Linked DNA regions of Xenopus tropicalis. The protein of the gene in region 1 interacts with the protein of each later gene in a pairwise test. Links are inferred from orthologs where the notes say so. Each region holds a gene or a part of one and is shown on either strand. Other genes may lie near its edges. The genes, in order: apip and pdzd4.

Region 1 (15,999 bases):
CCAGTCTGCAGTCTTACTGGCCTCGGGGTTGGGCACCAAGTCCAATTAGGGCTTGTGGCTCATTAATTAATCTAATCACAATTCTGCAGTTCTGAATCATCAGCTGCTTCCTACATCAAAATAACACCCCCCCCCCAGGCCAGACTACAACCAGAGAGAGCATCAACTAAATAGCATAGATCTGCCTTCTGATTTATATGTCATTTACAAACCAGGGACAATAGCAGGGTGACTGTTACCCCAATGTTTCTATATATCTGTAACCTTGTTATGGGCTAAGGGGGCCCAGCCTGAAGGCCAGTTAGGGGGGGATTTGGTGTGAGTGCTTATTTGTGCCCTGGGTACCCCTGGAACTATAGCGGGGTGACTGTTAGCCCATAACAAGGTTACAGATATATAGAAACATTGGGGTAACAGTCACCCTGCTATAGTTCCTGGGGTACCCAGGGCACAAATAAGCACTCACCCCAAATCCCCCCCTAACTGGCCTTCAGGCTGGGCCCCCTTAGCCCATAACAAGGTTACAGATATATAGAAACATTGGGGTAACAGTCACCCTGCTATAGTTCCAGGGGTACCCAGGGCACAAATAAGCACTCACCCCAAATCCCCCCCTAACTGGCCTTCAGGCTGGGCCCCCTTAGCCCATAACAAGGTTACAGATATATAGAAACATTGGGGTAACAGTCTACCTGCTATAGTTCCAGGGGTACCCAGGGCACAAATAAGCACTCACCCCAAATCCCCCCCTAACTGGCCTTCAGGCTGGGCCCCCTTAGCCCATAACAAGATTACAGATATATAGAAACATTGGGGTAAGGGGGCCCAGCCTGAAGGCCAGTTAGGGGGAGATTTGGGGTGAGTGCTTATTTGTGCCCTGGGTACCCCTGGAACTATAGAGGGGTGACTGTTACCCCAATGTTTCTATATATCTGTAACCTTGTTATGGGCTAAGGGGGCCCAGCCTGAAGGCCAGTTAGGGGGGGATTTGGGGTGAGTGCTTATTAAAAGCCATTAATATCACTTGAACAGACCGACTTTTATGACCATAAAGGGAAGACTAATGATCTCTTTGGCCCATGGTTGCATGCCGCATCTGCCCCTAACCCACCCTGTTTCCCCAGCGGTGGGACACCTTGAAATGAGTGGCCCTAAGTAAATCCACCACTGATGATGATGCTTTTTTATATATATGTATATCAATGGTGTGTAGGCGCCATCTCAGTGCATTGTGCCTGAGTCTGAGCTTTCAGCCAGCGCTACACATTAGAACTGCTTTCAGCTAACCTATTGTTTCTCCTACTCCCATGTAACTGGAGGAGTCCCAAGCCGGACTTGGATTTCTTAGTATTGAGTGCTATTCTGATACCTACTGGGAGCTGCTATCTTGCTCCCTTCCCATTGTTCTGCTGATCGGATGCTGCGGGGGGGGGGGGGGATATCACTCCAACTTGCAGCACAGCAGTAAAGTGTGACTGAAGTTTATCAGAGCACAGGGCACAGTTCACATGGCTGTGGCACCCTGGGAAATAAAGAATATGGCTAGCCCCATGGGAAAAACAGTTTACAATGCAGGATTCTGCTGGAGAAGCTCTATTAACTGATGGGTTTTGAAAAAAACATGGTTTCCCATGACAGTATTCCTTTAATCAGAGTAAATGAGCTCTGTATAAACAACACCCTCCTCTTTTCTTTTACTGATGCTGCTTTCTACTGACTGATAAGGACAAATTCATTATTTAAGTCAAACACTTCTGCTTGTTTAGTAAGGTCATTTTCAGCCTGATTTGGCCACCCACATGCTAGATTAAAACTGGTCCTATAGGTGAGATTGTCACCATTTTCTTTGGAAAAAAAATACTGCCCTTCCTATATGTTTAATCTGTCTTCCCTATTACAGGTATGGGACCTGTTATCCAGAAACCAGTTATCCAGAAAGTTCTGTATTATGGGAAGACCATCTCCCATAGTCTCCATTTTAATCAAATAATTCACTTTTTTTCTTTTTTTAAATAACTTGCTTTTTCTCTGTAATAATAAAACAGTACTTGTACTTGATCCCAACTAAGATATAATTACCCCTTATTGGGGCAGAACAGTCCTATTGGGTTTATTTAATGGTTAAATGATTCCCTTTTCTCTGTAATAATAAAACAGTACCTTGTACTTGATCCCAACTAAGATATAATTACCCCTTATTGGGGCAGAACAGCCCTATTGGGTTTATTTAATGGTTAAATGATTCCCTTTTCTCTGTAATAATAAAACAGTACCTGTACTTGATCCCAACTAAGATATAATTACCCCTTATTGGGGGCAGAACAGCCCTATTGGGTTTATTTAATGGTTAAATGATTCCTTTTTCTCTGTAATAATAAAACAGTACCTGTACTTGATCCCAACTAAGATATAATTACCCCTTATTGGGGGCTGAACAGCCCTATTGGGTTTATTTAATGGTTAAATGATTCCCTTTTCTCTGTAATAATAAAACAGTACCTGTACTTGATCCCAACTAAGATATAATTACCCCTTATTGGGGGCAGAACAGTCCTATTGGGTTTATTTAATGGTTAAATGATTCCCTTTTCTCTGTAATAATAAAACAGTACCTGTACTTGATCCCAACTAAGATATAATTACCCCTTATTGGGGGTAGAACAATCCTAATTGGTGTAACACTTCATTGGCCACAGTTGTTGCCCCACCTGCTTGCACTCTATTACTGCCCTGGTGGTGGTAACTGGTACAAAGCCGACTGCATTGTATTACTGGCCCAAAGCTCATGTTATGGTGTCTCTCACCCTTATGGGGGTATTGTGCATATAGTTTGGTACATTCTCCTGTCCCAGACTCCTCTCTCTCTCTTACAGCTGGGCCAGTGTATAATGTAATGTGTTATCCAGAATGCTCGGGACATGGGGTTTTTCTAGATAAGGGGTCTTTCTGTAATTTTGATCTCCATACCTTAAGTCTACTAAAATATCATTTAAGCATGAAATAAACCCAATAGAATCCCGCACAGAATCAATTTTCAGACCGGGCCCACATTTTTACTTGCTTTGACCCGCAACTGCCTAATCACCACCTGATCTGCTGACCACCATTAAAAAGGAAGTGCGGTTGCTGCAAAGTGGAAGTGACATCATCAGAAGGGGGCGGGGTAGAAAAATGTTTAAAAAAAAAAATGTAATATAAGACAAGAAATATGGAGAAGACCTGCAACCGGAAATCTTACCGGCAGGGTTGTTTAAGTGAAGTTGAACTTTCCCTTTCAGCCCATCAGTTTACCATTAAAGGGGAACTCCGGCTTCCGAACCAGAAGTTGTGAAAGAGCCCCACACGCGCACAGAAACCCCTAATATCCCTATCCCTGTAATCTGTTCCTTCAAGAAGTATAAATAAATACTATTTTATATGCTGAAATCCAGCTGCAAAACAGCTCTTCTCTTTCTGCATCATCTGAAATCCTGGCAGGGGAGGAGGGACTAAAACATTGATGTTACAAATGGTAACAACTTCTCCCCAGCTTACAGGCAGCATGCAGGAACTACATAACCCACAATGCATTGCACTGGGATGTTCCTTTGCTTATTGACATCACGTGTGCAGCAGGGAATTGTGGGATTGGGAGGAGGCAGGCTGAGGACAGGCGACTACGGTTACATTTTATTTGAGTCTCAAAGCAGTCAGCCAATCAGCAAGGGAACAGGGGGCGGGGCTTAGGGGACTGTTCCAAACCAGATTGTTGCATTAAATAGCATGGAAAGGCTGTATGATTTTCAAATTGATTCAAGTTGCTTGAAATGATGTTTATTTGTCAAAAAGCTTGAGTTGTGTTTGGGTGCGGTTCCCCTTTAATAAGTAGTGTTTATAAAACAAGACTGCACATTGAGGCACCCACAGCATTTCCTTGTTAAAGGCATTTGTTGATAATGTTCAGCCCATCCCACCTGTGACCACGGAGCCTTGGGGTTCAAACCCCACCAGAATCACTTTAAAGGGGACCTGTCATCCACACATAAAAAGCTGTATAATAAAAGTCCTTTATGGACCCCAAAATTATTTTTTTAATTAAACCAAACCAAATCTTTTATTAATTAAATCACCCATACCTGTTATAAATGTATTTAAAAATCTGAGCTGTCAATCATACATTGCCTGCCCCGCAGGCAATATATGACCGACAGCTCAGATTTTTAATTACAATTACTTTAACTTTCCATTCAGCACTTCCTAGATATTTTGGGGGGATACAAAGCTTTGCCTTAATAACAGTGATTACAAAATGGCGCCGACCTGCTGGCTGTGACTGTAAACTCCAAGAGCGAAGGGGAAAAAAAAAACCAAATAATTTATACAATAATAATAATAATAATATAATACAGTGTAAGTAAAGTTTATTTTGCTCAACTAACGTGATAGAAAAGGATTTGGAATTATTTCTTAGGGTGACAGGTCCCCTTTACCTCAGGGGCAACTGGGGAACCCCCATGGGGCAACCTCAGGGGCAACCTCACTGGCAACCGGGGAACCCCCATGGGGCAACCTCACTGGCAACCGGGGAACCCCCATGGGGCAACCTCACTGGCAACCGGGGAACCCCCATGGGGCAACCTCACTGGCAACCGGGGAACCCCCATGGGGCAACCTCACTGGCAACCGGGAACCCCATGGGGCAACCTCACTGGCAACTGGGGAACCCCATGGGGCAACCTCACTGGCAACCGGGGAACCCCATGGGGCAACCTCACTGGCAACCGGGGAACCCCCATGGGGCAACCTCACTGGCAACCGGGAACCCCATGGGGCAACCTCACTGGCAACTGGGGAACCCCCATGGGGCAACCTCACTGGCAACTGGGGAACCCCCATGGGGCAACCTCACTGGCAACTGGGGAACCCCCATGGGGCAACCTCACTGGCAACTGGGGAACCCCCATGGGGCAACCTCACTGGCAACTGGGGAACCCCCATGGGGCAACCTCACTGGCAACTGGGGAACCCCCATGGGGCAACCTCACTGGCAACTGGGGAACCCCCATGGGTGAGTGTTTGGGGCAATGGCAGCTACAATAAGCAGCTAGAGATACAAAGGAGCAAGCAAAGCCCCCCCCCCCGGCCCTACTTACCCCTGAGGATCCCGGCTGTGTGTAGGGCCCTCACTCTGCATTCTCCGTTACGACTCCGGAGCCCCCCGACAAATGACCTAATAAACCCCTGACAGCCAAGTCTCAAGGAGGCGGCCATATTGCGGCACCTCCTGGAACCAAGGACCCCCCCGACCTGGGCTGCCTTGTAACCCGCCTGATACAAATAATAAAAAAAAAGCTGCCAGAAATCCTATCGACCAACCCCACAAGCAGCGTTACAAAAGCACCGTTTCCGCTCTGTGAATAGAAATGTCACAGCGCTGCGCTGGGGTCCTAGGGAAACCGGCTGCCCGGTCACCGCCTTATTTAGGATCAGGACCCTGGGATAGCCGTCCATCATACTGCCTGACAGAAAATCACGAATAATATCCTCGGCGGTGCCGCGTAACACTACTGTAACTTTGTGGGAGTAACGCGACGTTATTAGCGTAAAAATTGCGCGTTCGAAAAAAGAACGGAGCTCTATATCTAGCGGAACGGTGAGGACCCCGGTAGGGCTGCCCGTAATTGTGCCTGTCTGATTGCTCTATAGGCAGTGTATGCATTGCACAGTAACACCCCCAGCCCTACACACTGAAGCACATCCCGGGGCTGCCCTGCCTGACAGACATGTATTACTGCAATAGAGACAACTGCAATCAAACAGACAATGCCAAGGTAATGCATGGGCTAATGGCAGGGAGAGGGGCAGCACACAGGGGCAGGTAGGAGTAGTAATACTGAATGCTGCTCCATAAAAGACAATGTAATTCTAAGCAACTTTCCTATAAACATATTTATTGCCCATTTTCACTGGTTTTAAAGTTATTTCTCTACGTAATTGCTACTAAAGGCAGCCTCTGTCTGTTTTATCTTTCCTGCACTGCTGGTTCTGACTGCTGAAACACCTTCGCAGAAACCAGCTAAATAACTGTGGTGCTACATTGTCAGAACCAGAGAACAGAAAGGGGACAAATACTGCTTTCAATAGCAAGTACATTTACACATTTAAAAAAAAATTGACATTTTTAATTACTTCAAATGCAGAAAATTAATTTGGCAGTGATTAATAGAGGAGTTTCTATAAGCAGACAGCGACTAACCCTACATACCAGCTATAGACATTTGCACCAGTTCCACTGATCCATAGGAGTCAGTAGGGTGCACTTGGGTGGCCTTTAGGTTAAAGGGGATATAAACCCTGCTGCACTTCTCAACCAAACTTTATTCAGTTGTTGCTGGACTACAAATCCCAGAATAATGTAACATATAATAAAGGTAGAGGCATGCTGGGAGCTGTAGTCCAGCAACATCAGGGGTTGTATTCTTAAAGGAGACATATCCTATAAAAATTATGAATGTACCAGTGTATTATACTCCTCTAGATATAGAAGGATTGTGCTTAAAAAAGTTGTGACTGATTTATTGAGAAATTCCACAAAAACCCCACTAGTCCCGGCCATCTGTTCCACTTCCTGCTGGCTGAATTTTCTGGATGAGCTGGGGAGCCGGCGGCCCTCCATACACTGCACTGTAGGATAGGAACCAATCAGCAGCTAGGCTAACCTGATAGGGAACTGAAGCCTGTCTGTGCTTGTGTGAGTGCAGGGCTGTGATTGGCTCTCCCCCTCCTACTGTACTTCTGGCAGGGACCGTTAGGACACACCCACCCCTCATTTCACACTGGACGGAGAAGTGATAGGATCTATAGGGAGCTCCAATAAAGGGGCCATTTTTACAGATGGGATTCATTTTTAGCCCAAAGTGAAACCAGCACCGTATATTATTAATAATTGCCTACAAAATAAGCATTTTTCCCAATTATGCAATATGTCTCCTTTAAAGCAATATTGCACAATAAAACATTTCCTAAACTTTCCCCTATATCTTCACCTGCCCCTAACCCGCCCCTTCTCCACCCGTACCCAACCCGGCCTACAGTTTTGCATCTATTTATAGACCCGAGCCTGCCCCACCTGTGACATCACTGAGGGGGGCAGACACGTGCCTATAAAGAGACGCAGCCAGACCCAGAAGTAGGGCTCAGTTAGGATGCGGGTGGGGAGGGAAGAAGAAGAAAGACTGGACCCGCAACCTTTATTTTGATGTTGCGTTGTCACTACTTCAAAGCAAGCGTCTTCTTTAAAATGCAAAAAAATCTCCCAATGAGAATCCCAGCTGATCTGTATAAATCCGGCTCCATGTTCTCTGTTCCTGCAATTGGAGTTGGGAGCATTAAACCCAGTTTCCCAGCACTGAACAAGTCTGCCCTTATCCCCATGTCTGATTCCTGTGCCATATAATGAGGGGAAAATGCCATCATTATCTCTATATATATTTATATTTTTCACATTTTAAAGCAGTCGCTGGCTGCGAAGATTTGGGAAAAAGTTTAGGAAAAATATTATTGTGCAATATTGCTTTAAAGGAAAACTATACCACCAAACAATATAGGTCTCTATAAAATATATTGCATAAATAGCTCATATGTAAAACCCTGCTTCATCTGAAATAAACCATTTTCATTAAAAATATACTAATTTAGTAGTATGTGCCATTGGGTAATCCTAAATAGGAAACTGCCATTTTAAGTACTAAGGGCCGCCCCTGGGATCACAGGAGTCACAGTGCATACAAACAAGCCAAGGCACACATACATGCTAGGTCTCATCAGCCAATGAATGGGCAGAGTTCTGCCTGCTTTGATTTGTAGTCCAGCAACACCTGAGTAAAGTTTGGTTGAGCAGCGCTGTGCAACAGGGTTTACATCCCCTTTAATGTCTGTTGGAACAGGGGCTATAGGTTACAGTGCAGTGAGGGGGCTACAAGGTTACAAAGTGAAAGGATGTGGTGAGAACATACCAAATGGGTCTTGGGTGTTGGGAGAGGCAAGAGCTACATGGAGGGGCCATAGAAATCAGAATTTAAGCTTTAGATGTATTTTTGGGGGGGAAGATAAACCAATACCTAACAATAAAGTACCCTTTATGGCTAGCACTGGCACAGGGTATTATGCAGAAGCTATATTTATATACAGGTATGGGACCTGTTATCCAGAATGCTCGGGACATGAGCTTTTCTGGATAAGCGATCTTTCTGTAATTTGGATCTCTATAACTTAAGTCTGTCAAAAAACATTTAAATATTGAATAAAACCAATAGGATTGTTTTGCCTCCAATCAAGATTAATTATATCTTAGTTGGGACCAAGTACAGGTACTGTTTTATTATTACAGAGAAAAGGGAATCATTTAACCATTAAATAAACCCAATAGGGCTGTTCTGCCCCAATAAGGGGTAATTATATCTTAGTTGGGATCAAGTACAGGTACTGTTTTATTATTACAGAGAAAAGGGAATCATTTAACCATTAAATAAACCCAATAGGGCAGTTCTGCCCCCAATAAGGGGTAATTAGATCTTAGTTGGGATCAAGTACAGGTACTGTTTTATTATTACAGAGAAAAGGGAATCATTTAACCATTAAATAAACCCAATAGGGCTGTTCTGCCCCAATAAGGGGTAATTATATCTTAGTTGGGATCAAGTACAGGTACTGTTTTATTATTACAGAGAAAAGGGAATCATTTAACCATTAAATAAACCCAATAGGGCTGTTCTGCCCCCAATAAGGGGTAATTATATCTTAGTTGGGATCAAGTACAGGTACTGTTTTATTATTACAGAGAAAAGGGAATCATTTAACCATGAGATAAACCCAATAGGGCTGTTCTGCCCCCAATAAGGGGTAATTATATCTTAGTTGGGATCAAGTACAGGTACTGTTTTATTATTACAGAGAAAAGGGAATCATTTAACCATTAAATAAACCCAATAGGGCTGTTCTGCCCCAATAAGGGTTAATTATATCTTAGTTGGGATCAAGTACAGGTACTGTTTTATTATTACAGAGAAAAGTGAATCATTTAACCATGAAATAAACCCAATAGGGCTGTTCTGCCCCCAATAAGGGGTAATTATATCTTAGTTGGGATCAAGTACAGGTACTGTTTTATTATTACAGAGAAAAAAGAAATTATTTTTAAAAGTTATAATTATTTGCTTATAATGGAGTCTATGGGAGATGGCCTTTCCGTAATTCGGAATTTTCTGGATAATGGGTTTCCGGATAAGGGATCCCATATCTGTATTATAAAATATAAATCACTGGCAGTGTCCTCTCTGTCCTTTTCTGTGTGTTAGGATAAAGCACATCCAAGGAATCTGATCCCGGAACTTTGCCGACAGTTCTATAACTTGGGTTGGGTCACAGGAACCGGAGGAGGAATCAGCCTTAAGTACGGGTGAGTTATCATTCCTTGCTGCTTATGGGCAAGTAAAACAAGCACATCATAACATAGCGTGGGCTAGTAACCTATAGCAACCAATCAGGTTTATCACCTAAAGGAGAAGGAAAGGTAAAAATCACTGGGGGTGCCAAATGTTAGGTACCCTCAATGATTGTAATCGCTTTACCTTTACATTCCTTCTCCTTTAAAAACGTGACCTGATTGGTTGCTGTGCGTTAAAGCAATACTGGTTTTACAAAACCCATCAGTTAATAGAGCTTATCCAGCAGAATCCTGCATTGTAATCTGTTTTTCCAACGGGGCTAGCAATATTCTTCATTTCCCAGGGTGCCACAGCCATATGACCTGTGCTCTGATAAACTTCAGTCACACTTTACTGCTGTGCTGCAAGTTGGAGTGATATCCCCCCCCCCTCACCCCCAGCAGCCGATCAGCAGAACAATGGGAAGGGAGCAAGATAGCAGCTCCCAGTAGGTATCAGAATAGCACTCAATAGTAAGAAATCCAAGTCCGGCTTGGGACTCCTCCAGTTACATGGGAGTAGGAGAAACAATAGGTTAGCTGAAAGCAGTTCTAATGTGTAGCGCTGGCTGAAAGCTCAGACTCAGGCACAAGGCACTGAGATGGCGCCTACACACCAATATTACAGCTACAAATACATTTGTTGGTTCAAGAATAAAAGTTTAAATGGCAGAGGGAATTATTTGCTGTGTAACAGTGTCATTTAGAAATAAATAGTACCCCATAAAAATCATGACGGTATCCCTCTAAGAAACATCGTGATTTTTGTTACAGTACCTAAAACAGCAGCTGTCCTATTTTACTTTATGGCTGGGATCCTGGATAAACGAAGGATCACAGCCAGTATCCAAAACGTCAAAGCAGGGTCAACTTATCCTTTATCTGAGAGGCTTATTGTGATTTGCCATACTGCAGCCTGTGGCTAATATAGAAAGCTTAGCTACGGCAGGGACAGCTTTGTGCCTTATGTTACACTCAAATTTCACGCCAATATGGCGGTGAAGTGAAGGGTAAGTTAAATTACAATCTTTTTCAAATTCTGAATCATTACAAACAGAATTCAAGAACGAGCTCTCCTTGCAGTCATATAACAGTTCTACCAGGTTTCACCAGGGGGCGCCATACCAGTATAAATCTGCCTGTGTCTCAAACTGGAAGATCAGCATTGTAACTGGTTCTGAAAGGTGCAAATTCCTGGCGCAGCAATGCGGTCCCCCCTTAGGCTTCTCTTGTTTTGCTATTTGCATTAACAAACCTCCAGGAGATTAATCTGCTACTAGCACACAAAGCGGCCATTAGTTTCCATGAAATCAGTTTACAAAATCTATAGATCAGTAACTGACTCTAAGGGCATGTCCTCATTAGAGCTTTTAAGCACTTTAAAGGGCATCTCAACCCCCAACACAGTAAATGGCACTTTTGTGTTTTTACTGATTTTAGACACATTCATTAGATCTTTTCAACACTTTAAAAAGGGGGCAGGGTGTGAGAAAGTAGCAGGTTTGGACTGGTAATACCAGGTCTTTGGCTTAATAGCTCTTTCTGAAAGTCCCAGAATCAGCAAACTGAGGGTTAACTGACCCTACAGGAAGTGCATAGACAGGGTCACTGATGCTTTCCCCTTTAAAGTGCTTAAAAGCCCTAATGAATATATACCATTAGAGTCAATTAGCAGACATTTTCTTTTTATCCAGACTGGATTCAATGCCCTTTACCTGCTGTATGTTCACACAAACCTTGTGCACCCAGGAGTCACTTAGCTGCTGTAGAATCATTGGTTATGGCAATTAGGATATGTGACACTGTCACAGGCTTATCTGATTCCCATTGTAAGCAGCAGTCCTGCCCTGCTTTATGGCTGAGATTCTAGCTATCTGTATAACAGAGCATTCTGTCACAGTGGCACAGATCCTATCTGATCCCCCCATTGTAAGCAGCAGTCCTGCCCTGCTTTATGGCTGAGATTCTAGCTATCTGTATAACAGAGCATTCTGTCACAGTGGCACAGATCCTATCTGATCCTCCCATTGTAAGCAGCAGTCCTGCCCTGCTTTATGGCTGAGATTCTAGCTATCTGTATAACAGAGCATTCTGTCACAGTGGCACAGATCCTATCTGATCCCCCCCATTGTAAGCAACAGTCCTGCCCTGCTTTATGGCTGAGATTCTAGCTATCTGTATAACAGAAAGTTTTATTCTCTGCCGGTTTCTGGCTGGAGATGACTATTTAACAGAAATGCAAAGAATCCTTTAAATGTCAGCTGACAGTTACAAATGACACGTGCCAGTCTTTTCGTGACCCGCCGTTCCATTTCAGTGCCTGCTGCTGGCTGTAACATTTGCCTGACATTGGATAAGCAGCGCTGCGTGAGTTACTTCCCTCTCGGCCATAGAAAGCTGCCAATAACTTCCTATCTCCAATCAGATGTGTCAGGACGCTGAGGCCCGAAGGGGCGCACAGAGACATTTACAGACATGCCTGTTTAAATGTTACGCTGATATAACCTGTAATATATGATTGTTATTCCACTGGCCGGGGGGAGCCGAGCTCCTCTACCCTCCTCTTTATTTCCTTGTTTTGAGTCAGACATAGAAACATGCAGGAAGTGTTAATGCAACCCTGTCATTGCCTAATGGCCACGTGCCTTGTATGTATGTTTCTCGGATCCCTAATGCATGTCTGGAATCCCAGCCGTAAAGCAAAACACACCTGCTGCATGGATCTTTGCACTATTGTCAGGTGACTGTTGTGACCCGATGCCTTATTACATGTATATTTGAATGAATGAACAGAATTAGTCTCTTTTATTTTGACTTCCTGGTTGCTAGAGTAAAGCTGGCCATACACTTGTAGATTGTAAGCTCTTTTGGGCAGGGCTCTCTTCATCTCTTGTATCGGTTATTGATTGCTTTATATGTTACTCTGTATGTCCAATGTATGAAACCCACTTATTGTACAGCGCTGCGGGATATGTTGGCGCTTTATAAAAAAATGTTAATAATAATAATACACAGCCCCCTATAAGCTTCTGTTCCTGCCCTGCTTGACCAAACGTTACTCAGTTGTTGCTGGACTACAAATCCCAGAATAATGTAACATATAATGAAGGGTGAGGCATGCTGGGAGCTGTAGTCCAGCAACATCAGGGCTGTATTCTTAAAGCAATATTGCACAATAAAACTTTCCCCCAAATCCCCACAGCCAGCGACTGCTTTAAAGTGCAAAAAATCCCTCCAATGAGAATCCCAGCTGATCTGTATAAATCCGGCTCCATGTTCTCTGTTCCTGCAATTGGAGTTGGGAGCATTAGCTGGGAATCAGCATTCTCATTGGTCACTTCTTCTGCATTTATAATGAAGTTTTTTATCAGTAGAATTCTCATTGGTGAATTTTCTTGCATCTATAATTATGTTTTTTGGCAGCTTCTATAGCAAAACTAGGGGGCGCAGTGGGAGAGCATCATGGCTGGGTTTATATCCCCTTTAAAGCTCTAATCGTGGTCCGTTCCTGATCCTGACAAACTTGTTATGACTTTAAATCCCTCTTTGTTTCCCCTTAGGGATGAAATCTACATTGCACCTTCAGGGGTCCAGAAGGAAAGAATTCAGGTAAGGGAACGCCACTGCTGAGACTCGCTTACTATCAGGTGTTGACCGAGGCACAAAAGCCGGCTGGATCGGATTTGCCACAATGCACAAACTGCCAGCCCGGGCCTGCTCACTACCCTTCCGATTGCACCCCACTCATTGTACTGAGGCAGTGTGCCTCTTCTCCCTGCCCCTAGTTCCGGCGCTGGCCCTATGTACGTGCCCCCTGATTTTCTGTCCTGGCAGCAAAAGCTCATTTAGAAGCCTCTGGAGCCGTTGCTGTTCTGTCTGCCCTCTGGCGGGGCAATTAAGGGAACCTGTATCTTCACTGTCACTTCTTTGTTGGCCTCTGCACATTCCTATAAACGCCGTCACTGTCTCTTGTGTCACCTAGAAAACAAAACCGTATCTGTCTCTCCCGTTTGAAGAGCGCCAGCATAAATATGACTTTAATCCTCCTCGCCTCCCTCTTTCCTGTTAATTGCTGCCTTCCAATAAAAACATTATAGGAAGTAGTAATGATGGCGTTTCATTCGTTAATTACCAAAAATGCTGCTGCACTGGTTCCCCTCAGGCTGGCACAGCTCAACCGCCCAATAAAGGAAAACAAGTCCATCAGCGCACAGTGGCGCAGAGATGTCAGGCTAATCCCATACTCATTATTATATAGGAACTATAAAGTGTGTGTATGAATTTGTGGTTTTCTTTATTTGCACTTGTAATGCTTTTGTTGGCCAGTAGGTAGAGCTCCTGCTCTCGGACACTCAAATACCTTTCTATGGACTCCATAGACTTCTTAAAGGGGATGTAAACCCTGCTGCACTGCGCTGCTCAACCAAACTTTACTCAGTTGTTGCTGGACTACAAATCCCAGAATAACATATAATGAAGGGTGAGGCATGCTGGGAGCTGTAGTCCAGCAACATCAGGGTTGTATTCTTAAAGCAATATTGCACAATAAAACTTTCCCCCAAATCCCCACAGCCAGCGACTGCTTTAAAATGCAAAAAATCCCCCAATGAGAATCCCAGCTGATCTGTATAAATCCGGCTCCATGTTCTCTGTTCCTGCAATTGGAGTTGGGAGCATTAAACCCAGTTTCCCAGCACTGAACAAGTCTGCCCTTATCCCCATGTCTGATTCCTGTGCCATATAATGAGGGGAAAATGCCATCATTATCTCTATATGTAAGGTACCAGCAAGGGGCCTGACACAGTGCTGGGAATCCGCATTCTCATTGGTCACTTCTTCTGCATTTATAATGAAGTTTTTTATCAGTAGAATTCTCATTGGTGAATTTTCTTGCATCTATAATGATGTATTTTGGCAGCTTCTATAGCAAAACTAGGGGGCGCAGTGGGACAGCATCATGGCTGGGTTTGTATCCCCTTTAAGGTCTGACTCTGACTTGATGGAGCCTATGGCAGGAGACTGCTGCTGCTTTGCTTGGAGACCACTGTACACTCTTCCTATTGGTTATTAAGTACATGCTCAGATACCCATGTAATGTGTGTGTTTTTTTTGTTTTTCAACAGCCGGACGACCTGTTTGTTTGTGACATAGACGAAAAGGACATCAGCAGCCCCCCGCCTTACCGAAACTTAAAGAAGAGCCAGTGCACCCCACTTTTTATGAATGCTTATACCATGAGAGGTACGAGCCCCACAGGGATGGTGGGAAGGCAGTTGCCCCTGTATATGGAGGGGAGTACTGGGAACTCACACACATACCTGGCTTTGTTTCCCACCCAGGACGAAGCTTATATACAGTATTTGTATGCTTGTAACTAGGCATTGCTCTGTTATCCAACATGGCAGCATTTCTACTTCTGGGCTGCTCTCTTTCCTCTGGTCAGGCTGGAGGTGGGGCTTAATCCTGGCTGAGAAGCCATTAGGGTTTATATCAATCTTCCCCTTCGTCCACAGGCAGTGTTGCTCACTGGCCCATATTTCATCCTAAGGAGACCTAAGAGGGCCATAATATTCCTTATATCAGACCTGACATAAGGTCGTGTTTTAATTTATTTTTTGTAATTTATAGATGCCGGCGCTGTGATCCACACACATTCCAAGGCCGCCGTCATGGCTACTCTGATGTTCCCAGGCAAAGAGTTCCTTATCACACACCAGGAGATGATCAAGGGGATAAAAAAGGGCACCTCCGGTGGCTATTACAGGTAACTGCACCACTGCGCTACTTACAGCCAGTTGATAATGGGTATTTCATAGAAACCAACCAGTCAAATAAAGGTTTCTCTCTTGTGCCTTTTGCAGCACTGGCAGTAAAGGAGATTTCCTTGTAGATTTCAGCCTAATAAGAGAATCTCATTTACTGTATTCCCCTTATTGGGTGCCTGTCACCCCTAGCCTGATGCAACAGTCATTTAAAGGGGTTGTTCACCTTGAAAGTAACTTTTAGTATGATGTCGAAATTGATATTCTGAGACAATTTGCAATTGGTTGTTATTTTTTGTGGTTTTTCAGTTATTTAGCTTTTTGTTCAGCAGCTCCCAAGTTTGGAATTTCAGCAGCTATCTGGTTGCTGGGGTCTTGTTTGCCTTAGCAACCGGGCAGTGGTGTGAATGAGAGACTGGAATATGAATAGAGGAGGGACTAAATAGAAAGATAAGGAATAAGAAGTAACAATAAAATTGTACAGGTATGGGATCCATTATCCGGAAACCTGATATCCAAAAAGCTCAGAATTACAGAAAGCCTGTCTCCCATAGACTCTATTTTAATCAAATAATTCAGATTTTTAAAATTGATTTTCTTTTACTCTGTAATAATAAAACAGTACCTGTACTTGATCCCAACTAAGATATAATTACCCCTTATTGGGGGCAGAACAGCCCTATTGGGTTTATTTAATGGTTAAATGATTCCCTTTTCTCTGTAATAATAAAACAGTGCCTGTACTTGATCCCAACTAAGATATAATTACCCCTT
Region 2 (16,045 bases), on another chromosome or scaffold:
CACGTCTTTTTCCCATGTCACTTGTTGTATTTCCCGCCATACACGGTATTTATGGTTTTCCCCCACTCGTTTGTGTAACTTTGAGAAAGGCTGGTGTTCCAGCCGAAACGTTAGTTCACTGTTGGCAATAAAAAATCTTTTCTATCTACATAAGACCTGCGCGAGCGGCTTCTATCTCCTCAGTATCTACTATCTTTTCGAAGACTGCACCCAAGCGTATTAATATCTCCATATACGAGAGTGCCGGCGGCTTACACTTCTACATATATATACTGTATATAGTGGAAATGTTTTTCCATGCCAAACCTTTTATAAAAGCAAATCAGTTTAGTTTGTTGTACAGTCTGGTGCTTCCAGGTGTCCCCTTGCTTGAGCTGGGTGCATATCCATATGGAACTACTTTTTAAGAGGCACCTAGTCTAAGATGATGCATATGTAACACCTGGGAGCCTGGGGTAAAAGGGCAACTTTGGTCCCTGGCATCCGTCATTATTTTACTTGCCTTCCTATAGATTTATACGCTTTATAGTGTTACATGCTCCATTAGACATACATAAAGGGAAACAAAATATGGGAGTAAAAATAGTCTATAGCTGGATATTTATTTGTCTATTTATATTTTCTAATGAATGGGAGCTGCCATATTACTTTTATCTCCTAAGAAAAGCCATTTATTTTGATCAGTAGATGGTGATATTCTATTGTTTGCCGCGAAAAAAGCAGAGAAAACACAATATGGCAGTTACGGCTCGTTTATGATTGCAAATCTGTAGGCATGGATTGTGCTGTGAATATAAAGAGCAATAATCCCATTATTAACCATCTGTTAAAAGTAAAATAAATTGCAAGTAATCTCAAATTATAGGCTATAAAATAATCCAGAGTCTCTGCTTGATCCGCTTTGAGGTTTATGAAGTTGCAGCACAATCCGAGTGGGAAAACACAAAAAGGCTGATACCTCAAATGGATAAATAAATCCCACACTGGGGGGATCCGTGCAAATGATAAAATAGGCACCAATTAAACGAAGCTTTTTGAATGGAGTGCCAGCGTGCTATTCATTTGTATATTGAGCTGCTGGCACGGCTCTTATAATCAGGCATATACCTCACATTACATCATTTATATTTATTCACAGAAGCCAGTGCAAATGTGCCTCTAGTGCAAATGTGCTTAGTACAGGGGTTATGGCCTTCCCCCGGCATATGGTGCCTCTATGTACAAGCTAGAAGAAAAATGAAGGTCTTGCTACAATTCCAGTTGCGCATTACTATGCCCCCCCCCCCCCATGGTAGCTAAGCCAATTGACCACTTCTGGTTGGGGCAATATAACATAATAGGAGGACTATGGAAGACGATAGGGCTGTCATCTGAAATCATGGGGACCCATTATATTTTCCTCCCCCCCCCACTGGGCCAAGAATGGGGAAACAAAAATAAGACACTTTGGGGCCGATTCACTAAAGTCCGAAATAAGGAGTGCTATTTATAGCATGCGTTAAAAATCTTATCACTTCTTATTTTTCGCTCGATTCACTAAAAGGACACTTGTCATAATTAAGAAGCGATGTTCTTGGCGTTATTTATCGTACAATGTCATATTTTAATGAAAAAAACTATGCGATAAGCGTTATAGGGGCCCATTCACTAAAGGTCAATAACGCTTATCGCATAGTTTTTTTCATTAAAAAGCATGCGATAATTAAGTACCGATTCATCAAAGTCATTTCGCATGTGTTAATCCGCATATCGCATGCACAAAAAAAACGCATTGCGTTAATTAGCGAATAGAAATAGTACTAACGCATGATTCACAAACACATATGAAGCGTTAAACATGCAAAATATCGTGTTAATCTGTGTGAATATTAACCCTACTTGGGGCAGGCGGTACTTAAAGAAAATTGCGGTTCGTGAGCTATTGGCAACACAACATGGAGTTTGCAGTCGTATTTTTTCAAGTATATGTTGGCCCTAGAGTGATGCATCCTCCGGTTTTCAGGGAAATGGTGGTTTTCAGAAAGTAATGGTTACGTGCGTAATATATTGCGCTCTGCATAAAATATCGCGCGCTGCGTAATATCTTGTGCGCTGCGTAATATATTGCTTGAAAATATGTCATCGTAAGATAAATAACGCCAAGAACATCGCTTCTTAATTATGACAAGTGTCCTTTTAGTGAATTGAGTGAAAAATAATAGGTGATAAGATTTTTAACGCATGCTATAAATAGCACTCCTTGGGCCTGATTCACTAAAGGGCGATAAAACGTGCGCTATTTTTATTGTGCGCTAAAATTTTTACCGCGGCTTAATTTTTGCGATTTTTTGCACGATTCACTATAAGCATACTCGCGCTTTTTTACGCGCGATATTGCATGCGTTATTTAACTCGCGAAAGGCTATTTCAATGCGGTATTTGCCGGTACATGCGCTAAATACGCGAATAATCGCCGCATATGGGGCCTGATTCACTAAAGGGCGATAAAACGTGCGCTATTTTTATTGTGCGCTAAAATTTTTACCGCGGCTTAATTTTTGCGATTTTTCGCACGATTCACTATAAGCATACTCGTGCTTTTTTACGCGCGATATTGTATGTGTTATTTAACTCGCGAAAGGCTATTTCAATGCGGTATTTGCCAGTACATGTGCTAAATACGCGAATAGTCGCCGCATTTGAATGGTAGCATAGAAATAGTGTATAAAAATTGTTGCCGCATATAAATGGTGTATATAAATATTAGCCACATATAAATGGTAGCATATAAATAGTAGATGCTTATAAATAGTAGCCACTAGTGATGAGCAAATGTGTTCTGGTTATCTTTAGTGAAAAATTAGCAAATCTTTCAAAAGATCCACGAAACGGCAAAAATGTTGTGCGGGCAAAAAAATTGTTGCCCGTGACTATTATTTTTTGGCACTATCAATTTTTGGATGTGCGGTGAATTTTTGCGTGGCAAATTTTTTCATGCGTTTTGCCATTGGCGGATTGTTTTGAGAAACGCATGAAAAAATCCGCCGCGAAAAAAATTCACCGCATGTCCAAAAATTCGCTGCGAATCCATGCCTGGCGAAACATTTCATCACTTGTAGCCAAATATAAATAGTCGCGCAAATGAATGCACGCCATGTTAGCCATACACGCCAATACTTGCAGAAAATTACTGTATTAAAAATGAACATTTCGCTGCAAACTGGCGGCTGCGTCACTCTGGGGGAAACACAGACTTGAATAAATAACACTGTAAGTCCATATTTTATTGCAAAAAATCATTTACTGTACTTTTGTATAATTTTTCGCCTGCCTGTAGTAGGTGTTAATTTTCACATAGCCGAATGCGATATTTAGCGCGCAAAAGTTATAGTGAATCATGCAATCATATTCTTTTCAGCGCAGAAATTAACGCAAAACGGTAAAACTAGTGTGAGAAATACCGCATGCGAAAATGGCGATTTTTCGCACGCGATAATACTATGGTGATTATTTTGCGTTTTTTGCGTTTTTTAACGCGAAAAAGCGTGCGATCATTTTTATCGCCCTTTAGTGAATCAGGCCCATTATATCCAAGACACCAACAATCCGCCAATATCCCACCCACTGTCCATGCACCCGACCCCTTTGCGACCCACAGAATAGAACTTAGCATCTGCAATAGGGCCCTCTGCCTGGACTCTGCTGAGAGGCAATAGCAGCCTAGGCAAGCCTACAATATCCAAATAAGCCAATAACATCCTTACTGAATGTGCTCTTATTGTTATAGACAAACCCAACTGTGGAATAAAAAGAATGTAGGTTTAATGGCGTTTTAATTAATCCAGCAAGGGGAGGCATTGCCAGTAAGAGGCCTTTTTATGATAAAGCAGCTTTTCATTGGCTTACTTGGTCACCGGGGGTCTTATATGTCTTGCCAAGTGGATATCTGATGGAGGTTTTCTCCCAAGGGTGCCTCACATATACCTGATTGAGTGCAATGTGCCCTCACCCATATTTGCCTCATTTCCATCAAGCTAGATGTTACTGATAAGATAATAGAGGGGGTTCCTTAGCAAGGGACCTATGGGATAAACAATATATTCTTTGTGGTTTTGATATAATCAATCTCCCTATCCCTGGGTTGTTGCTGGACATAGCTCTCACCCCCCTTAAATACACAGTATTCCCTCTCCATCCATGCAATATATCTTACCCCTCCCACTCAATTTTCCATCTCCCCCTCCACACATTTATAGGGTCATTTTTCACTAATGGTGGGGGCAGTATTTATTCTAGATAGAAGTGCCTAACTAGTGGAGATCCAGCTGTTGAACTATGACTCTCAGTGTCCCCTGACAGATATTACCTGTCATTGTTTATTTCTCTTCATTCTGTCCCAGTAACAATCACCCCTAGCTGCTGCCTGCTCAGTCAAGAGGCATATTTGAACTTCTCTCCCCCAATACAATAGCTGTGTCTTCTTGGTTACTTATGGTAGATCCCAGTGTCCTGTTAAGAACATAGATGTCCCTTCCCAGTATACTCCAAATGACCATATCTGCTTATCTGTGCTGGATATAAATATGACCCATCATTCCCTGCCCTGCCTCAGTTTCTCCCTCCCTAGCCAACGGAAGGCTCACAATTGTTAATAATAAAGAACAATATGCTTTTAGATCTGTGTCCCTTCAAAAGAATTAGAAGTGAGTTGTCTCGTTGTCTCACACCTCATTAGACTGTCACAATAAAGACCTCTTACACAGCACATTACCCAAACATCACAGCACAGCCCCCACAAGGCAGACCCAATCAGCCTGAGCCAGAGAGAGGAACCGCAAGACATGACATAACTTGGAGCCTCCTGCTGAGCTCTTCTAAATAATGCAATAGGAATCTATAGGGAGAGAGGTTTAACACTTCTCTTTTATACATGCAAACAAGATGTACTTTGTCATTGGCTTCTTACAGGGGAACATCTCCCCATACCCTACCAGGTCATCTGGTTTTTGATTATTTCCTACAGAGCAATTAGCGTGACCCCATTATATTCTGCCCTACTGGCGTGCTGCTGTTATATTTTTATAATCATGGAAAACCTCTGCAGATAATGGGAAGGTACATCCCTTGATTGTTTTCACTTTTGTTGTCTTCTCCTGCCCCTCAGGGAGTGTGCCGTGCAAAATAAAAGTGCACTGGAGTCTGCCTAAAGGCTTCATACACAATAATACAGATATTAGGTTGTGTTTATGTTGGGAGAAATGTTGCACACAAAAAATGCAGATATTGTATAGCTGTTGAATGCAAGTACTGGATGTTTAGAAGACTAACATTTTATTCCTAATTCAGTGGCTCTCAGTGGGCCACTGAAATGATTGGGCTCCAATGTACCAGCACCTGTTTTCCCATTGATAGTTCTGAAGGAAGTTGAGTTTCCCACCATTCTGGACATCAAGGAGGTGAAGTAGTGCTGGAAATCAGATTCTCCCAGAGTCACCCAGACTAAGCCAGGGGTCCCACCCTTGTAGAAGGTTGCTATGGGGATCCAGACCAAAGTTACAGGAGGCTGTGGTTATCTCCAACAAAACAAATATATGGCATAGCTAGAATCGGATGACCAGACTGGTATGACTATGACTGAATCACATCTTGTGCCTATAGAGGTCACCATAGCTTAACCCCGACCAGGCTTCCTTTGTGGCACAGAATTTTAATTGGGCAGCCTCCATAGAAGTTAAGCCCCAGAATTGAAAAAATGCTGCACCATGCATTGTGCCAACACTCCTGAAGTGGCAGTCATTTCTCTGCAGCAGTTGCACGTTATATGCTGGCCAGGGGGGCAAATAAGGTAAAAGGTGCCCCCCTACAGCTGCAAGGAAAAAATGTACATGCCGTCCCCATTTATCTGCATATTTGTATTTATTCATATGACTTGAGCTCCTCAGATACCCCTGTACCCCCAGGTAATTACTCTTGTTCATTAGACTATAAGATGCATTCAGTTGCCAAGCAAAGTACAACTCTGAGTGCAATTGTTGTTTTACCCACAATTCTGCCATCATTGCAGATGCAAACGGCAATTCTTTTGGCACAACCACGTGTGTTTGTCATTGTAAATCAGGCACAATCCCACTAAATATTTTCCAAGTTTGCCTGGCGTCATTTCTGATAAGCACCGCGTGAGTGAAGTGTATGCCATATTATTTTGGTGCAAGTGTGCTGTGTCTTTTAACACAGGGTGCTAAGGGAACCATGAAGCTATCATCTTCATCACTGGAAGTGGCGGTGCAGCAGTGCCTGTTTGAAATGAAAGTCAGGAAGAAGTGAGCAGCGATGAGTGTAACTATACAGTAAGGAGTGCATTTTCTTTAAAGTGCAGTTCCTTTATAGAAAAACTGCCAGAAAAAGTGCAAGTTACCCGCTGCACTTGTAGATGTAAATACGATAATGCTAGTGTCGCTTTAACTTTAGGTTCCACCAGGGTCGGATTTGATTACATGGCACCCCAGGGTCACCCCATTTGTGCGCCCAACCCACCCCCCCACACATGCGCACCCCTTTAACTCATTTAGCAGTGGGGAAAGGACGCGCTGAAGTTTCTGTGTATCAGATCCCCATTGCCACATATTTGAGCAAATTTCATTGTGGCTTGGGCGGAATGTCGCCCCTAAATATGTGGCGCCCTAGGCCCAGGCCTTTGCCTCACCACAAATCCGGGCCTGGGTCCCTCGCAGTTTGTGGACTGCAAGTCTCAGCATATATCAATATAAGGGATGCACCGAATCCAGGATTCAGTTCAACAATTCCTGGCCATTTAGGGTTTTTCTTCTCCAGAAGAAACACAGGGCAGTGTGCAAACTTGAGACACAAATTAGCATGTTTTTTACCCATAATGCAATGCCCCCCCTACAAATTCCAGCATCATTATAGCTGTACTGACTTGCATCTGCCACAACTGTGCCCGATGAATATAGGAAGAATAAAATGCTTGCTTTGAAATTACTCTGCTCATTGGTTGCTAGGGAGTTTTACCACAATTATTAGTCAAACATTCCAGCTGACAGTTTCTGCTCATCCCTTAAGCTGACGGCCATGGCTAACTGGCGTTACACATTAAGGTGTCAGGTTGTCTAGGACTTCATATATAATGAGATTGTTTATTCCCCTTAAATAAAGAGGCCACTCATAAAGGTAACAACAGAGTATGTCATATCAGACTTACTTGCTTGGCTAACTGCCTGTAGATACCAGCCACAAACTGGCCAATACTTTCTGCGTAGCCATGCAGAATGCACGCAAATGAATGACTCGTTAGCCATAAAGCACATAGATATGGTGCTCCTCTGCTCGAGGTGGCCTCTCCAATAAAGTAACTGCTTCAGTGGTAAAGCGATTAACTATAATTAAAAATGGCAGAATGGTGTGAAGAACTGAATTCTCTGCAATAAAATCAACAGACCGTTGCATAGGGACAGAATCCAATGGAACCCAAGGGCAGTTTACAGCTGAATGATGTGCAGACTCGGAGGTTTATCTGTCATGTAAAGGGTTAAATTGACTGATGAGTCAAGGAACGCTAGTCTCATTGCATATATTTCTCACCTGTCCATTCTGATTCTTTCCAGTCACCCAGATGACTTTAACCCAATATGAACCAGTGCTGTGTAATAGCCTCCATGTCCCCCTATTGCATTCCTGTACCCTGTAGCTCCTGTTGTGCTTCCTGCCACCCCTCCCTCCATGTCTTACATGGCCAAAGCTCAGGGCTGCTGATAAAATTCTCTCAGCAGTTTTGTGCCTGTCTAACAGATTGGCTGTGAGTGTTACACCAAAGACCATCCATATTTATTAGCTACCTTTCCCTCTCTCTCTCCCTCCCTCCCTTCCTCCTTCTCTCACTCACTGCACCTCCCTTCCTCCCTCCCTCCATCCTAGCAGTGCTGAGGCTCGGCTGGAGCCAGCGAGGAGGAGAAGGCATGCGTGTGGGTTCTGCGGCAGGCAGAGAATTGGGCACAGGTGCCTTCACAGCTATCTGCATGCAGGGGGAACATGGAGACAAATTCTTGCTGAAGACCAGCAGCCTAATATTTTAAGAAACATATTTGAAGGAAACCAGTGTAGATGCCTTGCTGGTACCCCATTATTTGGGCAAGAGAAAAAGGCAGCCTGGAGAAAAGACTTCTTTATAGTGGGAGCAGGAAGAGACGTGGCACCCCATTTTTGCAAGATGTGGGGGACAGCTGCATGTCTCTTCCATACCAAACCAAGGCTTCCCCCCCACCTTTATTCACTCCCTCCCATGGATTAACTGCCTTCACTGGATGGATAATCAAGGGGCTTACGACTTCTGATCTAGGGCTCCTTTCCTTCTGTAAACACCTTTTGGATGCTACAGAAGAGGCACTGAGTGCACATTTCTGAGAATCCAGGCAAAACTGGGGGTGACCAGCCCCCTCCCTCGTAGACCTGCACCCCCTTGAAGCTAACATGGGATGTAACATGTGTGTGGTTCGCAAACCAGAGGAGCATTACAAAGTGATGCTGCAGGTATGAAAGGGAAAAACAGGAATGGAGTGGGTGGCAGGTAAAAAGAGGGGTGTATGTTAACTATCTGGGGGTGGCACAAGATAATGTACAGTAACGTGGGCTCAAAGGTCGATGTAGGAGAGGGTATAAGAAGGTAGAAATAAAGAACAAGGAAGGATTGGGAATGTATAGAGATTTGCTCAGGATGGAGGAATGGGGAATTAAGCAGAGAAGAGGGTAAATCTGGGAAGGGGTAGAAGACATGGTCTGATGGTGGCAAAAGCATGGAGAAGAAAAGAGGCAAGGAAATAAAAGAGATAGTTTTGGGGAAAGATGGAGGCTGAGGTTGGCTAAGGGCGAAAATGGGTCTCAAACTTATAACAGGGATGGTGTAGAAGATAAAGTGGCTTCAGTGGGAAAAATATGAAGTTGAAATAAATAATATGTATGTGTTTGCTCTTTGAAAGAAATGTGAAAATGTATGGGGTTGAGGAGTTTACATAATTGAATAGATAATGGCTACATGTAGAAATGGGAATCAAATGAGCACAGAGTATGAAATGTGGATGATGATGTTGAGAATTTGGCATTGAGAAGGTTATGGATATGAGAGGTTGTCAAGGATGTAAGTTCAGTCTGACAGAGAAATGGCAACTACAAGTAGGTAGAATGTGGAGTTTGGATGGAGCCCTGACAGGGGGCTGTGTGGGACCCTTGGCACATAACATAGTCGCAAATATAAGGAAACAAGAGAGAGATAGTCATTCCGCTGAAGTTCCAGGAGTGCCCAAACAGCAATTCCGAAGATACCTCACCCCCTTATCCCATACTCCCCTGGGTGTGTTCATCCCTATAGTTTGGGAACCTCTCCACTGGAGTTTGGGAGTTTAGGGTGGCAAAAGCATTCAGAACAGTGAGAGCCAATAAGAAATAAAATGACAAGGAAACACTGGCAGGAAAATCAGAGAAAAGGATGATGGCGGCAATGATTACGGAAAAAAATAGGAAAAAAGTGGGCAAGGTGAGAGTTAAATAGTGGGAGGACAGACTGGTGGTTGAAGCAATCAGAAAATAGGTACTGGAGATGCACCAACCATTTATGGCACTATCCTGGTCCACAATGCCAAGCACGTGTACACTCGCAAAAACGCACGTGCCCTATGTAGAGCCCATATGGCAACTTTAATACGAAAAACCAATGGCAAAATTATTGCCAAGAGTATGATACAGGTTCTGTATTATTAATGAGGATGAGACATGGCTAAAGTCAATGGGATATGCCAAACAGAAGCACAAACACATACAGACACATACACTTAAGCACATTCATGTTCATGTATTGCTGTTACCATACATATATTTAGTCTTCTACCAGACCTGTACAACATAGTGTATCATACTTACAGCACACACAGACAGGAGTGTAAGCTCCAGCCCATAGTACATCTCTTATAGACGGTGCAGGAGGCAGTAACGCTGCCCCAATGCAAGAGCTCTAACACATATCCCAGACATTTTCTGCTTAGAGCAAACTCCCTCCATTTTCTGCCACCTTTCTCGAGTGCATCAGATTGGTATTTGGGGTAGAAATTAGGTATTGTGGCTGCTTTATTGAGATACAGCTTCAGCTAGCCTGCTAGGCATGTGTACTTTGTGTCTATATGAGGTATACGTGTCTGTGTTGTGTAAAGCATAACTGCATATACAGTATAATGCACATGTGCATACATGGCAGAGCTGTGCATTTGTGTATGAAATCTCTGTATGAATATACATCTGTTTATTTCTGTGTCACACCATTCACATCTCTATGTGAATATTATGCTTCCCAATGTGTGTGTGTAATGCAAATATGTGTGTTAGGACATTCTCATCTATATGTGTCTAGTTGTATACCCTGTCTTTGTGTACACAATGCACATCTGTACCCCCATGAATAAGATTCACATCTGTGGTTCCCAGCAGGAGTTGTATTTGTGTATATAAGAGGCAATGATTGTTGAGTGGCCATTATTGTTTTGTGTGTGTATAGGGTGAAAGATTAGATGCAAGAGTTGTGTGCGTTGGGGTGAAATGGTTGGGTGTGTGGTGCTGAAATGTGTGTTGTGGGGCAGTGTTTGCAAGTAAATGAATGGAGTGTTTAGGCGTATGAGTCCAGGACCTGTGTGCGTCATTACATTTTTGTATCATAAATGTGTGTTTAGAGGGAAATATTTGGGTTTCGGGTTAGTTTGGGGAGGGGTTATTGTGTGTATGTGTAGGGGGGATGCTGGACTGTGGGGGTTATTGTGTGTATGTGTAGGGGGGGATGCTGGAGTGTGGGGGTTAGTGTATGCATGTCTAGGGGGGGATGCTGGAGTGTGGGGGTTAGTGTGTGTATGTGTAGGGGGGATGCTGGAGTTGGGGGGGTTAGTTTGTGTATGTGTAGGGGGGGATGCTGGAGTGTGGGGGTTATTGTGTGTATGTTTAGGGGGGATGCTGGAGTGTGGGGGTTATTATGTATATGTTTAGGGAGGATGCTGGAGTGTGGGGGTTATTGTGTGTATGTGTAGGGGGGGTGCTGGAGTGTGGGGGTTAGTGTGTGTATGTGTAGGGGGGATGCTGGAGTGTGGGAGTTAGTGTGTGTATGTGTAGGGGGGATGCTGGAGTTGGGGGGGTTAGTGTATGCATGTCTAGGGGGGATTCTGGAGTGTGGGGGTTATTGTGTGTATGTGTAGGGGGGATCCTGGAGTGTGGGGGTTAGTGTGTGTATGTGTAGGGGGGATTCTGAAGTGTGGGGGTTAGTGTGTGTATGTGTAGGGGGGATTCTGAAGTGTGGGGGTTAGTGTGTGTATGTGTAGGGGGGATGCTGTAGTTGGGGGGGTTAGTTTGTGTATGTGTAGGGGGGATGCTGGAGTGTGGGGGTTAGTGTGTGTATGTGTAGGGGGGATGCTGTAGTTGGGGGGGTTAGTTTGTGTATGTGTAGGGGGGATGCTGGAGTGTGGGGGTTAGTGTGTGTATGTGTAGGGGGGATGCTGTAGTTGGGGGGGTTAGTTTGTGTATGTGTAGGGGGGATGCTGGAGTGTGGGGGTTAGTATGTGTATGTGTAGGGGGGATGCTGGAGTGTGGGGGTTATTGTGTATACAGTATGTTTAGGGAGGATGCTGGAGTGTGGGGGTTATTGTGTGTATGTGTAGGGGGGATGTTGGAGTTGGGGGGGGTAATTGTGTGTATATGTAGGGGGGAGGCTGGAGTGTGGGGGTTAGTGTGTGTAAGTGTAGGGGGGATGCTGGAGTTGGGGGGTTTATTGTGTGTCTATGTAGGGGGGAGGCTGGAGTGTGGGGGTTAGTCTGTGTGTATGCTGGAGTGTGTTCACTGTCGAGAATGGTCATTATGGCTGTGGGTGGCAGCAATGTTTGTGTAAGGGTGAGTGGGGGGCAGTGTTTGCTGCTATGGGGGGTTTTGAGTATTGGTGCCAGTTTGTTTAGATGTGGGTAGCAATGTTTGTTTTGCATTTGTTTACCTGCCATGTGTGCTGGGCACAGGGTAGGGAGTTCAGTTACCGGAGGCGGGGGGTGCATATGTTGGGGACATATATGAACAAGTGCTGCCAGCAGGACACTATCTGCATGTTGCTCTGCATGTTTATACATCACCACTGGCATTCCTAGCCCCCCACTCTAGAACAGGGGAGGGAGCAAAGGAATCTTTGACCAAGTGCTCGGCCGCTGGAGTAGATTCCTAATTATGTTCTGATTTGCTTTGATAGCTCAGTGACAACCTGGGGTCTATTTACAGTTTGCAGACAAAGAAGGGGAGGCAGTTTGGGGCTGTTTCCAGCCGGAGAGCGGCAGCCCTACCAGTACTCACCCCTCTAGTTGTGTATTCTATGTACGCAACAGCCCGACAAGGGACTTTCCTTGGCCAAAAAGGACTCTCCCTTGGGAATGTAATGCCTCCTGTTTGCACAAGGCTACACAGCTATTCCTCAACCCTTTAAATACTGAATTCTTGTGTCCTTCAAAACTAATGGCCTCCCACGTCCCCTACCTCACCCCCTTCAAAACCAAATACTTATAAATCCCATGTCCTGTAAATGTAATTAGCTGGTGTTTTAGCCTGTATCTGCTTTTATATGGTCATGGAACTCATTGGTGACATGTAATATCCTTATATTTTGCAACAGGGGGTTATGTATAGATTGTTTGCTAAGTAACCATAACATTCAAGGCTGTATTATGTGCTAGTTTTTAAATGAAAGAGGTGGCAAACCTATGTTTCTCTAATTACATTACTGACCCCTTATTAAATCAGAGGTGTAACTTTATTTTCATGGGCTCCTCACAAAAATATGATTTTAGAGCCCCCCATCCACATCACATAGCTGCACACTCACCATTTTCCTCCATACCTGCATTGGTCAGATGGTGTGGGTGCAGACAGGGGGGAGGTTGTGACTGGAATACAGACTCTTACCAGGCCCCCTCTCCCCTGCCCCACAGTTATGGGGCCTGATTAAACCCAACCATCTGCAGTGGTGCTGTGACACTACAGCTCCCACCATGGTGGTTTAATGTGTTGTTTTCTCTCTGCCATCCTTCAGTGGAACTAGAACCTAGGTAGGAGGTTTTTGTGTCCTTTTTTACCCTCAGCTGCTGGCAGGTTATTCTGAATGGTCCCTCTGTATCCAGAGAGCTTTCATGATTTAAGCTCTTATATCAGTACATCTCTAGGTACCAGGCATGTCTTTATAATATGGCTTAATATTACCCTTTCTAGTGTAGGTTTGGGCCAGTAAGGCTTCCTTCTCATTATAGCAGTCTGTTCCCCTGCATATACTTCTTCCCCTTCTACCCCTTCATAGAATCAATTTTTCCAGCCTTTTCTTCATCAAATGCCCTTTCCCTCCCCCCACATCCCTTTTTATGACAATGATACCCCCCATCTCTCTCTCACTGCACCTTTTCCCATCTCATCTCTCCTTTGATCCATCTGGGAAGGTTTTTCCGCCGGCAGGATGGAGAGGGTTTAATTATCCAGATAAAGCCACCTTAAATCTTCTGTGCGGCTCCACTGGCAGCAGCAGCCGGTAATGATGAATCTTGTGATTTCTGTACTGGAGCAGAGACTCCTGTGTGTGTGACTGGAATAGGGAGCCGGATCAATAGGAATGGGGGAAATTGAGATGAGAAGGGCAGGAGAAGTGAGGAGTGCTTGTGTGAAGTGTGACAGAAAGCAACTTATAGCAGCGGTGACCCCCCCTTTCTATTCATACATGTTACAGAGGGTTCCTAATACATAATAATAACTGCTGGATTATAGGCTGCCCTCGTTCCGCATACCAATAACAAACATCTGACACCTAATCCACAGGCTTGTGATGTCTCCCTACTGTACCCAGCTGGATACTTCTCTTATACAGACAAGATGTACTTACTATCATAATCACACACCCAGAGCTCTGGGAGCACCTATCCTTGGCCCATGGTAACTGCCAACCCATTCTAAAGGCCACCCGCCCCAATTCTAACCATTACAGTATATATAATATTTATATCATGGTCCGTGTGAGGGGGAGGGGGTTACGTAGTAACATGGGCATAGTTTGTCTCATTTTGGTAACCAACAGCAACCAGATGTTTCCTATAATTATTCCAAACTGCACTCAACCAAGCTATCTGCTGAATGGTTACTATGGGTTACAGGACTAGGAAAACCGCTTGCTGTTGATACTGTACAAACTGGATGGGTAGATAAGAATTAGTACCATGCCATAGATACTATTGCTCATAGCAAAAGCATTTCAGGGGTCCTGGCCTGTTTTGCAAGACATCCACTGGGCCCTATGTACCATAGGCCTGCTTTAGGATAGGCAAGAGCAAACCTGGAGTAATATGCGGTGGTCTTTTTTTTTTGTGTGCCCAGATGATGGCACTGCATCACCACCCATTATGCTTGTGCCCCATAAACCCAGAGTTACAGAAGCAGTGGCCCTTGCAATACGAGGACGGGGCTCCAGTGTCCAATATTTGTGAGTTGTATATTTTATCAGAGAAAGTTGTACAGCTGAGGGGCTATTCCTTGATCTATACATGCCTAAAATATTTCCTAACAATATAATATGATCTTTCATCTTTATGCCACTAAGAGAACTACTGATGCTGGGTAAGCGGCCCATCTGCTCATGGGCTGCCACTGCCAATATTTTATCCTTCCTTAATAAACCATCCCTGGTCTCCCTCTATAAATGTAAAGTAGATGTGCAGCTTGACTTGCAGGGCTTGTTCCTTGCTGCCCATACACAGTGGCCTCAACCGTGGCTTGCTGGGAAAATATAGAACTGTGGCTGTTGAACAATGCATTGCACTGCTGCTCATCTCGATAAATCATCCCATCCGACTTCTGTTAGATTTCCTCCCCTCATGGGGCGTCTGTCAAGATCAGCAGCAGAAGACACACACTGATATCTCCTATATACATGTATCTATCTGACTATATAGAGTTGTTCACCAATGCATGAAATGGCCTGTGATTAGTAATGCTGTCCGGCCAGCTTCAGGAGCACAGTTTGATAGAAGAAACACAGTCGAGTCAATTGCATTTTATCTCTGCACTTCAGAAAGGCACTTATTTGATTAAATATTTGTATATATATATATATATATATAAATATATACATATATATATATGTATATATGTATGTATATGTATATATGTACTGTATGCCCAGCCTGCAGTTATACACCTGTTGGTTAACAAATCTATCATCCTTCATTTTTGCCTTTAAAACAACCAGGCACCCATGCTGTATCTGTATTGTGCTATATTATGTATATAGAGTAATATTTGCAGCACATGCGGGGGGTTAATAGAACAATTATTGATTACAAACATCAGGCAGCTTTGAAGTCTCCTCTAATGCAGTTTATCCTAATTCCCATCTGTACAAAGGGCATTCCTGTATCCGTGTTGTATTACTACCAGCACTTTTCCATTTGTTTCCATTCAGCCATGGACAGCACGCCGGTACGGCAGTGAGCCTCTCTATAGCACAGTATATAGACTGCATATATATATATACACACACAAACACACACAGACACAGCAGGGCCAAGGTGCTGTCCATTGTGCTGAAATCTCAGGACTGGCGCTCTCCAGCAGATATCTGCTTTTGGCAGCCTTTGCTTAGCAACATCTCTCGAATCTCCAGCACTGAAGAGGTTACAGCTGCCAATGGCAGGGGATCCTGTTGTTATTTTTAGTGGCAAATAATAGCTTTATCGTTCAGTGAAAAGCAGGTGTATTCTCCACTACTAATTCAATTACCCCCCACATTTCTGCCATGCAACAGAAACAATACAGCACACTAAAAAGAGAGCAGTAAAATTGGCATTACAAGAGCACAAGCAAGATAGCTATTGTTTCCTATAGAATTGATGTAAGGTTCTATTTATTTATTTTAAATGCTACAAAAATATTTATTGTGCACATTCATGCATTTCCCAGCATGCCTTGCATTTTGCCACTGATTCTATGCCACTATTTGCAATGGGCATCCATAATA

The links.
Region 2: the proteins of apip (region 1) and pdzd4 interact in a two-hybrid assay, tested with the Homo sapiens proteins (2 studies listed by BioGRID and IntAct). The two-hybrid records come from large-scale screens. The link is inferred for Xenopus tropicalis from reciprocal best matches to the Homo sapiens genes APIP and PDZD4.

Annotation. Positions count from the first base shown.
Region 1 is NC_030680.2:11,179,401-11,195,399, forward strand, and holds the start of apip (methylthioribulose-1-phosphate dehydratase), read left to right. Parts: upstream 1-5,694; 5' UTR 5,695-5,762; coding exon 5,763-5,810; intron 5,811-9,335; coding exon 9,336-9,436; intron 9,437-13,023; coding exon 13,024-13,072; intron 13,073-14,586; coding exon 14,587-14,704; intron 14,705-15,091; coding exon 15,092-15,227; intron 15,228-15,999. Other genes in the region: pdhx (pyruvate dehydrogenase protein X component, mitochondrial), read right to left, coding at 5,133-5,250. UniProt on the Homo sapiens protein: Catalyzes the dehydration of methylthioribulose-1-phosphate (MTRu-1-P) into 2,3-diketo-5-methylthiopentyl-1-phosphate (DK-MTP-1-P).
Region 2 is NC_030684.2:26,598,779-26,614,823, forward strand, and holds the start of pdzd4 (PDZ domain-containing protein 4), read left to right. Parts: upstream 1-7,985; 5' UTR 7,986-8,463; coding exon 8,464-8,523; intron 8,524-16,045.